Linked DNA regions of Macaca mulatta. The protein of the gene in region 2 interacts with the protein of the main gene of each other region in a biochemical or structural test. Links are inferred from orthologs where the notes say so. Each region holds a gene or a part of one and is shown on either strand. Other genes may lie near its edges.

What was found. The genes of interacting proteins can lie anywhere in the genome.
Region 1: of the proteins of UBA1 (region 2) and UBE2E1, one has a biochemical effect on the other in vitro, tested with the Homo sapiens proteins (9 studies listed by BioGRID, with this or other methods). The link is inferred for Macaca mulatta from reciprocal best matches to the Homo sapiens genes UBA1 and UBE2E1.
Region 3: of the proteins of UBA1 (region 2) and UBE2D4, one has a biochemical effect on the other in vitro, tested with the Homo sapiens proteins (4 studies listed by BioGRID). The link is inferred for Macaca mulatta from reciprocal best matches to the Homo sapiens genes UBA1 and UBE2D4.
Region 4: of the proteins of UBA1 (region 2) and UBE2Z, one has a biochemical effect on the other in vitro, tested with the Homo sapiens proteins (3 studies listed by BioGRID). The link is inferred for Macaca mulatta from reciprocal best matches to the Homo sapiens genes UBA1 and UBE2Z.

What each region holds. Positions count from the first base shown.
Region 1 is NC_133407.1:24,593,380-24,596,634, forward strand, and holds the end of UBE2E1 (ubiquitin-conjugating enzyme E2 E1), read right to left. Parts: intron 2,723-3,255; coding exon 2,575-2,722; coding exon of another isoform or gene 2,456-2,574; exon of another isoform or gene 1,928-2,455; intron 1,295-1,927; coding exon 1,197-1,294; 3' UTR 501-1,196; downstream 1-500. UniProt on the Homo sapiens protein: Accepts ubiquitin from the E1 complex and catalyzes its covalent attachment to other proteins. Catalyzes the covalent attachment of ISG15 to other proteins. Mediates the selective degradation of short-lived and abnormal proteins.
Region 2 is NC_133426.1:47,235,565-47,239,064, reverse strand, and holds part of UBA1 (ubiquitin-like modifier-activating enzyme 1), read right to left. Parts: intron 1,426-3,500; coding exon 1,260-1,425; intron 1,126-1,259; coding exon 929-1,125; intron 1-928. UniProt on the Homo sapiens protein: Catalyzes the first step in ubiquitin conjugation to mark cellular proteins for degradation through the ubiquitin-proteasome system.
Region 3 is NC_133408.1:84,416,822-84,420,321, forward strand, and holds part of UBE2D4 (ubiquitin-conjugating enzyme E2 D4), read right to left. Parts: intron 3,473-3,500; exon of another isoform or gene 3,343-3,472; coding exon of another isoform or gene 3,342-3,342; intron 3,154-3,341; coding exon 3,122-3,153; intron 3,026-3,121; coding exon 2,948-3,025; intron 1-2,947. UniProt on the Homo sapiens protein: Accepts ubiquitin from the E1 complex and catalyzes its covalent attachment to other proteins. In vitro able to promote polyubiquitination using all 7 ubiquitin Lys residues, but may prefer 'Lys-11' and 'Lys-48'-linked polyubiquitination.
Region 4 is NC_133421.1:61,089,798-61,093,297, forward strand, and holds part of UBE2Z (ubiquitin-conjugating enzyme E2 Z), read right to left. Parts: intron 1,776-3,500; coding exon 1,664-1,775; intron 1-1,663. UniProt on the Homo sapiens protein: Catalyzes the covalent attachment of ubiquitin to other proteins. Specific substrate for UBA6, not charged with ubiquitin by UBE1. May be involved in apoptosis regulation.

The sequences.
Region 1 (3,255 bases), on a different chromosome or scaffold from region 2:
AAATGCTTTCATAATGATTTTTAAATAAGTACCTTCCAGTTTGTTTCCTGCTAATGCAACTTAGTCTATATTAGTACAGACAGAGTTACCAATTCTTTTTAAATTCTGTAATGAAAGACACACAGAAACAGCACTGCTGGGTCATGCCATGTGTATACTTAGGTACTGCCAAAATGCCCCCTACGGCAGTGTACCAGTTTATCCCTGACAGAACCCATTTCCCATGTACTTGCTACTACAGCATCTGCAAGTCAGAAAACGCTTTAAAAAAAAATGCAGTAGGGTTCGTCTTTGAAGCCTAAATGGGGTAGATTATTTAACCTTGTCTAGGATACCTCAACATCTACAGCTGTGTAAAGTACAGATCCTAATATGGGTAAATAATACCTACTAAATATGCATTATTTTTAGCTTGTTTTAGAAGCAGATACCTATCGATTTCAGAAGAATCTGCAAACAGCAACCAAAAGGCAAAATAAAAGTAAATGAACACAGCAGTATTAGGCGGTTTTTAATATTGTTTATTAGCACAGTAACAAATGCAGACTTAAGTAGTCCACAACATATAACCAATCCACTGAGCAACTCCTATTCCACGCCTTACAGTTAACAGCTTAAGGTATTTCACTACAGGTTTTCACAAGTCCTGATTTAAACCTTTTTTAAACAAAGTAGATTGGCATATAAAATAAAACACATTACTCATCTCCTATATGGTGTCTTACAGCCACGTGTCCATTTTATATATATGAGATGACAGTCTCTAAAAACTCTGTTAAATATCAATGTTCCCTTCCAAGAAGGGAAAACAAATTCCAATTTTGTTTTAAACAAAAAGTATGTAGTCTTAGAGGGACTTTACATAAATGGCCATATGTGTAACCTGTACAAAATTAAGCTGTTTTAAATTTACAGACTACAAGCAACTGAACCCAAATGTCTAAATGTACATTCTTTTCTGTACTACATTTCAGCTAATATTGCAGAACTAATGACAATTTTAAAAGTTGCTATTACCAATTCTGTCTACTGTAGCAAGATACCTTAAGTTACAACAAAATCTTAGGAAATAAGACTGAATAATATCTGTTATAGAAATACCCTACTCTTTACCAACTCCCACCCTCCCTGACCCCTTCAGAATCATAAGCAGCTCTCTTCTGTGACAAATAATGTAAGAATTGTGAAAACCCAGTTTATGTAGCGTATCTCTTGGTCCACTGTCTGGCCATTCTGTCATGTTCTGCTCTGTTGGTCATATACTGAGTGGCAATACTTCCCACCAAGGGGTCGGCTGGAAGAAAAGAATGTAGATTACTTTGGAGAAAGGAAAAGAACATTTTAAACTTTAGCAAATACATTAGTGACAGCTTGGGCAGACATGTACAACCAAGTATGTGTGATCAAACCCATCTTCGAAACACCACTCCACTATGCCGGATATTTTTCCATCAAAAATTTAAAAATCGTAACATGGGAGGAAGAGGGAATGCTCAGGCTTTAGTTTACTGGTCTGTCTGTATCTTAGTTCATTCCATTTTTCTCCCAATAAACAACACCCGATTGGAGTTTCTTTACTCTTATGTGTTAGGCTGAGTTCAGTGGAGACTGGAACGGTCAAGGCTCCAGACTACAATGAACATCCAACTGTGTTGATGTGACCCTTAGCTCAGTGTCACCAGTTATGGCATTGTGAATACTGTGAAGTCTTCGGGGCTGTTGCAATGCAACACTATTTACCTTTACACTGGTTAAAGAGCCAGGTTGCCAGGCAAAACCTGGACCTCCAATTAAGTATAGTATTTCTCTGAATCTTAGGATCTTTAATAACTAAATTTATATTTGGTTTACCTAGAAAATAAAATAAATAATATATGTGTGTATAGACACACATATATATATTTATATATATATACACACATTTTTTTTTTTTTTTTTTTGAGACAGGGTCTCACTTTGCCACCCAGGCTGGAGTTCTGTGCAGCGGCATGCTCATGGCTCACTGCAGCCTTGACCTTCTGGGTTCAAACAATCCTGCCACCTCAGCCACCCTAGTAGCTGGGACTACAGAAAAATATTTTTTAAATGAAATGAAGTCCCAAAAAAGTCACAATTCAATAGTCACTAAGTATTTAACAAATACCATTTTCAAAACTGAGTGCCATCTCAGTGACCAGCTATGGGCACATGCCCACTGAACCCCACAGGCAAGGTGAGGCTTGCCAGGCAGATGACTTGGCATTTAGAAGTGTATGATTTGTTTTATAAGAACTATATGGGAAATTAAGCAACAGGAAAAAAAAATAGAGGGAAGAATAACTGAAACTGTAAAAGCCCAAGGCAAACTTCGTCTTCAGTTTAAAATACCTTGTTGCTAGAATATACTGATTAATGAAGTTGTATGTCTCAACTAGTAGACTGAACTTCTCGATTAAAACTTTCTTTGAAAAGCAGATTAGTTTTTATATTCATAAAGTTTTGCAGAAAAATTAGTTTTGTCCTTTGAAAGCTTTTGGAAACAAGTACTTTTCAGGTGAGGAAGAATAAAACAAGGTAAAGAATTATTAACCTTACCAGGATTACAGTCTGTAAGAAGTGAGCAGATAGAAAGGAGGACTTTAGAAATGGTTAGTGCTGGACTCCAATTATCTTTCAATATGTCCAAGCAAATAACACCTTGACTGTTAATATTACAATGATAGATTCTTGTCCGAAATGTAACCTAAGGAAAACAAGGAAGTGTCAAACAATAGTTAAAAAGCAAACAAACTTTTTACTAAATACTCAACTGAATGACCCTAATTAGAAAGAAAGAAAAAAAAACTCCCAGATAGGTAGTTTTTAAAAAGGTGAATAAAAGCAGTTTTAATTAAAGCTGTCAAGAAGATAGACTTGTTTAATAAATTTGATTAGAAAGTGTTCACTGACCATCTCAGGGACTGTGTCAATTTCATTTAAAATGTTATGTCCCCTGATGGTAAGTTCAGTACTTCCTAATTTTATCTTTAGCAATTTTAAATCTTTTAAATATTAACATTTCCAAGTCTGAATAGGTAATTGTTTGCTGACCTCTTGTGCTAGCTGGTAGTACTACACTGCCTCAAAGTAAGCTTTAAAATACTTAAAAGCTTTAAAATATTTAAAATCGTAAGTCTCTCTTAAAAACTGAAGTGCAACATAATAGGTACCTAAAGATAATTAAACAACATACTTAGCAAACAATGACTACACCCAAAAAGCTGAACAAAATTTGAA
Region 2 (3,500 bases):
CAGCTTATCAGCTATCGTTAGTGTTAGTATATTTTATGTGTGACCCAAGATAATTCTTCCAATATGGCCCAGGGAAGCCAAATGATTGGACACCCCTGAGCTAGATAATATGTGCACTGTTCTGTAGGTACATGCACCATACACACAGAATCATCCTGACAAACCAGCTGTTAAACTCATTTTAAGTAACAGCTGGGGAAAACCCGAATATGGACTATTAGAGACAAATAAATAACTGGAAGAGATGGTAAGAATGATTGTTAATTTTGTTGAGCATGAAAGTGATGTTTCTGTTAGATAGAAGTAGTTCTCAATTGGGAGTGATGTGGCACCCCTGGGGACATCTGGCAATGTCTGGAGACATTTTAGATGTCATGATGGAGGGGGAGTGCTATTGACATAAGAAGTCAGGAATGCTGAGAAACATCCTACAGTGCACAGGGCATCCCCTCTCCCATAACAAAGAAGTAACCAGCCCCAAATGTCAGTAGTGCTGAAGCTAAGAAACCCTGTTCTATAGCAACATATCCTCACTTGGCAGAGGCACTGAAATAGTAGGGGAGTAAAGGCTGTTATGTCCGTGACACATTTAAGCACAAAGAAGAAAAATCTATATACATCTAAGAAGAAAATGTGGCAAAACATTAAGAATTGCTAAATTTAGGTGAGGAATGGTATTTGAGTATTCATCATAATATTCTTAATATTTCTCTATGTGTTGAAAAAAATTCAAAGTAAAAGTGAAAAAAGAATGAGTCATTCTAGAAACCTAGGCTGCCTGGTGGGAAGAGAGGGAGGGAGGTTTGGAGAAAAGGTACATCTTACACTTAGGCATGCAACATCTGAAGGCAAGGCAAGGGCCTGGGGGCAGAGAGGCAGCGGCCTGGCCAGATGCCCGGCCTCTTCCCCTTCTCCCACAGCTTATCACCTGCAGGGTGTGCTCGATGGCATTAGGGAAGTTCTTCAGGGTACAGATGGGGATGGACTTCTCAGGTGGGTCCTGGCTGGAACTGTACGACTCTGTCAGGAAGGGGATCACCACCTGCACGTTGCCTTTGGTGCCCAGTGTGCCTGACTCCAGCAGTGGCTTCCGGTAGTAGACGCAGCGGCGGTCCATGTACATGCCTGCGGGGAGGACAAAGCGACAGCCGGGAAAGGAACATTAGGAGAGGACAGGAAGACAGACACCCCTCTTGGTATATACACACCGAAACACACACAACTTTGCCCTTGACCACTTCACCCGCCTCCAAACTCACGGGCATCCACGTTGTCCAGGGCATTGGCCACGCCATCTAGGTTTTGGAAAAAATCGTCATCATAGATGCGCTCTGTGTCAGGACCCACACGGTTCTGGTGGCTTGTCACCCGGATATGTGGATTCATCTGGCGCACAGCTGCAGCGGCCGTGTCAGACTTTAACTTCTAAAGGGTTAAGAAAGTGCAGTTCCAGGGTGGGGACGGGGGAACAGAGCTCACTTATCTGTTCATTCACCCAACAAACATCTTTTTTTTTTTTTTGAGACAGGGTCTCTCTCCATCACACAGGCTGGAGTGCAGTGGCATGATCACAGCTCACTGCAGCCTCAACTTCCCAGGCTCCAGCCATCCTCCCACTTCAGCCTCCCAAGTAGCTGGGACCACAGGTGTGCACCACCATGCGTGGCTAATTTTTGTATTTTTGGTAGAGACAGGGTTTTGTCATGCTGCCCAGGCTGGTCTTGAACTCCTGAGCTCAAAGACCTCGGCCCCACGAAGAGCTGGGATTACAGGCGTGAGCCACCACACCTGGCCCAAACATCTATAAAGGGTTGCCTGCCTGAGATGGATTTACTTAATGCTGGGGAAGACCCAGGCCCTGAGTTAGGTGGCTAGCAGGAGAGACGGTCTGTGACAATGCCACATGGCCAGGATGATGACGCATGTGGCAGGGGATCAGTGGAAAGGGAAGCTGTGGACAGGAACAGACTGGAGACAATGGGCCAGACATCTGTTCTTTCATCTAACACCTACTATTTTTTCAGGTAATAGCACCCAGGATTGACGTAGACTCCCCCAACCAGCACCAGGATGCTAGCGCACAGACAAGCAGGATCCTTTCAAAGCCCAAGGTGGGCCACATCCCTCCTCTGCTCAGAATCCTCCCCTGGATCCCACCTCCACTTACCGTAAAATGAGTTGGCTCCCTGACCCTCCCACCTCAGGATCTTTGCGTGGGCTCTTCCGCAGCAGAAGGCGCTCTAGTCCCTCATATCCTTGAGGTCTCTGCAGAACTCAGGCCTTCCTTAACCACTGTCATCAATACTACAAACCATTCTCCCTGACACCCTGACTTCCCTTGTCTGGTTTTTGTTGTTTCCTTTGAGGAGCACTCATCACCGACATTAACTATATACCTCACGATCGTATTGTATCTATTGTTTGCTGTCCGTTCCCCTCCCCTTTCAGAAATCTTGTTTTATTCCTTGGTATATCCCCAATACCTAAAACAGTACCTCAGTAACTATTTGGTGAATAAATGAAATGAATGAAAGGGGGAATAAATCCTGGGTAAGCAAAAATGACATTGTTCCCTACAGAAGGCTTCTCAGAGATCCCTGCATAACCAACCCAGTTTCCATATGGGCAGAGAAGTGTAAGCCTAGGAGACTGAAACTGCAACCCTTGGAAAGGCCTGCTTCCAAGGTCCACCCTTGGCTGGAGTCTGGGAACTTGGAATTCGGGAAGAATCCCACCACTCCCTACCTGATATCAGTGGTTCACTGTGCCTAAACTGTTCATGCAAACAATACAGTTTATGCTGAACACCTTTCCTTCTGGGAGTCTGGAAATTTTGGTATGTGCCAGGAAGGGGGCGCCTACATGACCAGTCCCAAGTAAAAGAGATGGTGCTGAGTCTAACAAGCTTCCCTGATTGGCAACATTTCACGATGGTGCTGAGTCTAACAAGCTTCCCTGGTTGGCAACATTTCACATCTTGTTACACTTTGTTGCTGTTATTTCTGTAGTTACTGTTGCTACTGGGGAAATAAAGGCTGCCCTGTTTAACTCCCACAGGGAGAAGACTCCTAGAAACTTGTACCTGGCTCCCCCAGACTTCACCCCACCAGCCTTTTCCCTTTGCTGATTTTGGTCTGTTTCCTTTTGCTGTAATAAATTGTAGCCACAAGCACGACTATATGCTAAGTCCCATGAGTTCTCTTGGTGAATTGAGCTTGAGAGTGGTTTTGAGGACCCCAGACACACTGTCCCAACCAGCACTAAGGTCAAGGCAAAAACAAAAAAAACAAAAAAAACAAGTAAGATACAGAAGCTGGGAAAGGCTTCTGGCCGAGGTGGAAAGATCTCTGACAGAAAGAATGGGAACAAGAAAAAGGAGGGGCGAGGTGAGGTGGCTCACACTTGTAATCCCAGCACTTTGGGAGGCTGAAGCAGGCGGATCACCTGAGGTCGGGAATTCAAGACCAGCCTGACCAACATGGAGAGACCCTGTCTCTACT
Region 3 (3,500 bases), on a different chromosome or scaffold from region 2:
CATCTCTACCTAAAAATACAAAAAAATTAGCCAGGTGTGGTGGCACATGCCTGTAATCCCAGCTACTTGGGAAGCTGAGGCAGGAGAATAGCTTGAATCCGGGAGGCAGAGGTTGCAGTGAGCTGAGATTGCACCACTGCACACCACCCTGCGTCACAGAGCAAGACGCCATCTCGAAAAAAAACAAAAAAAAGGATTTTGCCTCCTTCGCTAGCTCTGAGAACTCACTGGTACTTCTTAGGCTAGATGGAGATGCACAAACATCCTTTATATAATTATCTACCATTTTTTGCATGTTTGATATAGTTTTTAATATTTTTTAAACTTACTTTGGAATATGAGAAGAGAGTTATGTGCATGTGAGCTCGAATATCTATTACCATATAATTTTTCCCAGAAAGGGTCAAACTTCAAAATCATCTCAGATATTAAGTATCTGCCTCAATATCTCCAATAAAGACCATGCAATCTTGCCAGATTCCTCCTATTGTCAGAAAATTTGTGCCAAAACATAAATCCAGTTGCTCCTGTTCCCTGTAGAAGGAGGTTTTTGAAAGACAGAAGCACTTTCTTCCCTCATAGAATGTCACTGTCACCTTTTAGCTCACATCTCTCCTTGCTAAAATAATCCCAACTCACCCACAGAGCTTACTTCTTAGTCTTTTAATAATAACCACTGTTGGCTGGGCGCAGTGGCTCACACCTGTAATCCCAGCACTTTGAGAGACCAAGGCGGACGGATCACCTGAGGTCAGGAGTTCAAGACCATTCTGCCCAACATGGCAAAACCCCATCTCTACTAACAACACAAAAAATTAGCCAGGCATGGTGGCGGGTGCCTGTAATCCCAGCTACTTGGGAGGCTGAGGCAGGAGAATCACTTGAACCCGAGAGGAGGAGCTTGCAGTGAGCCGAGATCATGCTACTGCACTCTATCCTGGGTGACAAGAGAAAAACTGTCTCAAAAAATAATAATAATAATTTAGAAATAATAATAATCACTGTTTCTCCTTTGTCCTTGGGCAATTAGGTACCCTGAAAATGCCCAACAGACATTCAGGACTACATCCATATCTGTTTAAGGAAAATCCTCAGCTGCTCACACAGTAATGAAAGAGATAAGCTAGAAAATTACTACTTGATAGACACTGCCACAGTCTCTCCAGAGGGTAAGGGAGAAGGGGTGGATCAGAGCACCGTGAAGCATGTTTATGATTTTTCAACCAAACCCCCTTGAACAGCAGTTGTACTCTAATGTGGCAAAGCTATTTTAGCATCTGTCATTGCCCTGCGCAGCACACCCCACTCCCTTGCCAAAAGTTTAAAAGGTCTCTGGGATCCTAAGCATATTTAACCAGGATTTAAAATGCTCAGGCACCACGTAGCCTCTGGTGGTGATGTCTGGACAGAGCTGCAGCTGGCGAGCACAGAAGTGGCTTCTTCACACTGACTCAGATAAACAACACGCAAAACAGCAGCTAAGCCTCTGACTCAAACTGAGTCATCAAGGCCAAGTCAAGGTAGTAAGACACAGCAATGTCACAACCCCTCGGCTAAGGTGTCTGATGCAGATGCAGGACTTTTGAGTAAGTCTTGCCAAAATGCACAACCTGGCCAGGCGTGGTGGCTCACACTTGGAATCCCAGCACTTTGGGAGGTGGAAGCAAGTGGATCACCAGAGGCCAGGAGTTCGAGACCAGCCTGGCCAACATTGTGAAACCCTGTCTCTACTAAAAATAATACAAAAATTAGCCACGTGTGATGGCAAGTACCTGTAGTCCCAGCTACTCAGGAGGCTGAGGCAGGAGAATCGCTTGAACCCAGCCTCCTCCACAAGGCAGCAGAGTGATCGTTTTGGTGTGGCAATCCCCACAATGGCGTGCAGACCCTACTCCTGGGGCCATCCGTACCTCTCTGGCCTCCTTCCCAACTCCTCACACGCTCACTCCCCTGGGGCAGTTTCCTGGGGACCCGTCTGCCCCCTTGCTGAGCTTCTGCAGTTCCCCCTTCTCAGGGCTATCTCCCCACCACCCCAGCTCCTGCTGCCAACCACTGCTTGTGCTCCTCCCCAGTGCTGACAGTGCTGACTGGCTCACACGCTAAATGCCCTGCCTCCTCCACAGGACTGTGAGCCTCAGAGCAGGCTCAGCTACCCATGCAGAGCCCAGGTAAGAAGGAGTATGAGGTGCAAGGGTCCAGGGGATGAGACGACCTGCAGTGCATAATACATGCTAGGGCAGGGTGGTTGAGGCAGCTCCCTGGGCTTCTCCTTCCCTCTGGTGGCACTGCTCTCTAAAACTCCACTGATGGGATGGTGTGTGCATAAAGGGCAAAGGAGGTTTGCTATTCTTTTAACTTAATAAAGGAAAGTGAAGGTGTGACTCACCAGTCCTAAACCAGGGTGTGTCCACCTTGGCACTATTGACACTTGGGGCTGATCATTCTCTGTCACGGGAAGGGAGGCTGTTCTAGGCACTGTAGGGAATCCCTGGGATACCCTGGCCTTTGCCCACTAGATACCAGCAGTACCCCCTCACCACAGTTTTGATAACCCAAAATATCCCAAGATGTTGCCCAAATGTCCCTGGGGCAATAGCAAAATCACCCCAGCAGAGAACCCCTGTCCTAACTCTAAGGGACTGCAGAGAAGGGAGCCAGAGCCTGGAGACATGACCAGACTCAGCTACAGTCACAAGGAAAAGCATTCAAACTGTGGCCTCAGTAAGGAGGCCAGCACCAGCTCACCCCACTGACCCTTGGTCACAACAGGTGCTAATTCCCAAAGTCCAGTGGTTAAAGTCCTGGGAGGCTGTCACCACAGGGTGGAGCGGTGGGCCCTCAGAGAAGCCCCATGTACAGCTCTTTTTACCTATACCTGACTTGAAGGGCCCCTCGTCACATGCTGTCCTTCATTCAAACATCAGGGGAGTTGTGAGGGGCACCTCACCTTTGGGGGCTTGAACGGGTAATCCGTAGGAAAGTGGATGGTCAGGAAGAAAACACCTCCTTGGTAAGGACTGTCATTCTGGAATGATGAGACACAGGAAGAGATCAGTGCATGTGCTAAGCCCAAAGTGCAAGAAGCAAAACTGGAGTGGTGTGCTCAGCAGCTACTACCTACCGGGCCCATGATGGTGGCCTGCCAGTGGAACACTACAAGACAAAAGAGAGATGGGCATGTAAGAGACCCCCCAAGAAACATGTCTATTCTACTGAAAATGCACTGCTAAATTACAGGGCACTGTCCACACGAGATGCACTCACTTCTGACACCAACTGCAAGACTGGGGTTCCCCAAACCACCCAAGATGCGGTAACTGCCTAGGACTCCCAGAGCTCACTGAAAGCGGGTGTGCTCAAGATTGCCGGTTATCCCAGGGAAACAGCATAAGTTAACATCAGGAGGGTCCAAACGCAGAGCTTCCATTCTTCTCTCTCCGTGGAGTCGGGATGTGTTACTCTCCTGGCATTGCTGTACGGCAACACACACAGAGTACCCA
Region 4 (3,500 bases), on a different chromosome or scaffold from region 2:
CAGCCTGGCCAACATGGTGAAAACCCTTCTCTACTACAAATACAAAAAATTAGTCAGGCATGGTGGTGCGTGCCTGTAATCTCAGCTACTCGGGTGGCTGAGGCAGAAGAATCACTTGAACCTGGGAGGCAGAGGTTGCTATGAGCCGAGAATGCACCATTACACTCCAGCCTGGGTAACAAGAATAAAACTCTGTCTCAAAAAATAAATACATCAATCAATTAAGCTGTTCTAATCACCTATCTGGAATCATTTTCTTTTGGGACTATCACTGGAACTTTTTCCCGTGCTCATAATTCAGGAAGGCACATCAGAATAGTGGGAGAACTTGGGCTCCAATATAAGTCTGGGGTCCTATCTTGAACTGTGTCCTTGTGAAAGTTAATTAACCTCTCTGAGGCAACATTATTTCACTTGAAAATGGGAATAACAATATTTAACCTCACATAGTATGAAGGTTAAACAAGAAATTACATAAAAAAAACTCAGGAGTGTCCAGCACAGAGCATGCTCTTGGAAAAATGTGAGTTTTCTCCACCTTCTCATTGGCACTGTTAACTCAAAAAGTCTTTCCCAGGACTCCTAATGACACCTTTGGCTCTGCAGGCAACAGTCCTTCATAACTCCAGAAGAACAGCTGGCTGAACAGTAGTCCCTATAGAGCAACTTCAGGGGATGCTGAGGATACAGGCACATAGAACCCACTAGATGCCACAACCCCCAAAGCAGGCTCAGAATTAATTTCCAATTGAGTCCATTGACTTCCATGTTGTAAAGGAATCCAAGCCACATATTTATTGTAACTCTCACAAATAAAAAATTTCATTATTATTATTTTTGGGGGGCAGGGAGGACGGAGTTTTGCTTGTCGCCCAGGCTAGAGTGCAATGGCGTGATCTCAGCTCACTGCAACCTCTGCCTCCAGGGTTCAAGTGACCACGCCCAGCTAATTTATTGTATTTTTAGTAGAAACAGGTTTTCACCATGTTGGCCAGGCTGGTCTCAAACTTCTGACCAGTTAATTTTTAGTAGAGATGAGGTTTTACCAGGTTGGCCAGGCTGGTCTCAAACTGCTGACCTCAGGTGATCCATCTGCCTGCCTCAGCCTCCCAAAGTGCTAGGATTACAGGCGTGAGCCACCATAGCTGGCAAAAAATTTCATTACTAAAAAACACATGTCAATTCCCTTTTTTTTCCTGTAGCAACAACTGTAGTACATGGGGTTGTGCTAGGTCCAAAACAAAACAAAAAAACCTCCCAAGCAGATCTCTTAAAACACTATTCTGGCCGGGCATGGTGGCTCACATCTATAATCCCAGCACTTTGGGAGGCCGAGGCAGGCAGATCACCAGGGTAGGAGTTTGAGGCCAGCCTGGCCAATATGGTAAAACCCCGTCTCTACTAAAAATACAAAAACTAGCCAGGCGTGGTGGTGCACGCCTGTACTCCCAGCTATTTGGGAGGCTGAGACAGAATGGCTTGAACCCGGGAGGTGGAGCTTGCAGTGAGCCGAGATTGCACCACTGCACTCCAGCCTAGGTGACAGAGCAAGACTCTGTCTCAGAAAAAACAAACAAACAAAAAACAAAACAAAAAAAACATAACCAACCAACCAACCAAAAACACTAGTCTACTCCCCAGAGCCAGGCTCACCTGGCCTTACCTGTTCAAAGCCAGGCTCATTGTGATAGGGGTTCTCAGTCATCAGGGACTGGATAGAGATGAGCACGGAGGAGATGCTCTGGGCTGGGCTCCAGGCAGGTCCAGTCCATGTACTGTAAACACATCAGAAGGAAGGGAGGGTGAGGCAGAGAAAGAACAGGGAACAAGTACCCTGGGGCCTGGCAATACCACCATAAGTGACTCACCATAAGTTTCTCTTTCACTATTAATACTCTGGAATTTCCCAGCCTCTGTCTCATGCTCATGTTCTGATTTCAGCAGAAATCAGTCAATTGCCTAATCCTCATATCAAGGGGGGCAAAAGAATAGGTAAAAGCAAGCTAGTAACTTTGAAGGGATTTTCTTTGTACTAGAAACAGTTATGACAATCAAAACAAAAGAAATTAGGTAAGCAATCAGCTCCAAAAGTTGTCTAAATGTTAATCTCTGTGGATCTCAAAGAGCTCGTTTATGGGTGGTGATGGAGTTAGTGAGGGGAGAGAGAAGTTGAACATAGAGGCAAACAGGTGACTGAAGTCATCTGGTTAGAGGCCATGTGGTGGGGCTATTGGGGATCCAGTTTTGTATCAAACCCCCAAGGACTGTCAAATTCTCTTAAGACTACATAACTCTACCTAAGGACAGGAAGAGAGTGCTTCCAGACAGTGGAAGGTGTGAAAATAATATATGGAAAACATCGAATACCAAAATTGCTCCTCTCTTTCATAAACCCAACCAAGTATTGGGGGAGTGGGCAGCTTGGATGTTAATGACATTTATTTTTAGCTCAATTAATTGAAGAGATGGCACTGGAGCTGGAAGCCAAACACAACCTAAGCCAGGACTGGCTTGTTCAAGTTGATTGCCCACTTCCCTTTCCCTGCGGTACCTGAGGAAAGCCCAAGTGAGTAATGCCTAATGGTAGCTTCACTGGGGGCTGCTCTTAAGTCTTCTCTCTTTTCAGCTTTGCTTCCCCAGAAACTCTAGACCTACCCCTCTCTGAAGCTTTACAACAGTGTCAACTCTCATTAAATTTATTTAGTCAGTGAGTCAGCCCAACATTGTTTTCTAGGTAGAGAGGGGAAAAAAAAACAAGGCTGATAAAGCTAATACAGTCAACTAGGAACACCTAAGAATTTTCTTTTCTTTCTTTTTTTGAGACAAAGTCTCCCTCTGTCACCCAGGCTGGAGTGCAGTGGCGTGATCTTGGCTCACTGCAACCTCTGCCTCCCAGATTCAAGCAATTCTCATGCCTCAGCCTCCCGAGTAGCTGGGACTAGAGGCACGCGCCACCATGCCTGGCTAATTTTTGTATTTTTAGTAGAGACAGGGTTTCGCCAGGCCAGGCTGGTCTCAAACTCCTGACCTCAGGTGATCCACGCGCCTCGGCCTCCCAAAGTGCGGGGATTACAGGTGTGAGCCACCACACCCGGCTGAATTTTCTACTCTGTGATTTTTTACGGCAAATTTTCAATTTCAGGACAGCTTTTCCTTGTCTACCTAACACACTTCTACTACTTTTACCCCACTGTCCTGTCGTTGGTATCTCAAAAGTTTTATATTGACCCAATGAGGGAGAGCCTACTCTGAGACATGCTTTCATGAACAAACTTCATACAGAAGCAATGACTAAATTTCTTTACCATCATGGGTTTTAGCCTACCAGCAAAGACAATTAATTAAGTACCCTAACAAGATGAAGTACTTCTTTAAGGACAGCCTCCTTTAAAGGACTTCTTCACTGCCAAAATCACAGCAGAACATATCCCTGGGTCTGAGCAAGTTCTAGAAAAATGAATCATGTCTCTAAGTTTATTTCAAACGCTGCCCTTCCCTCA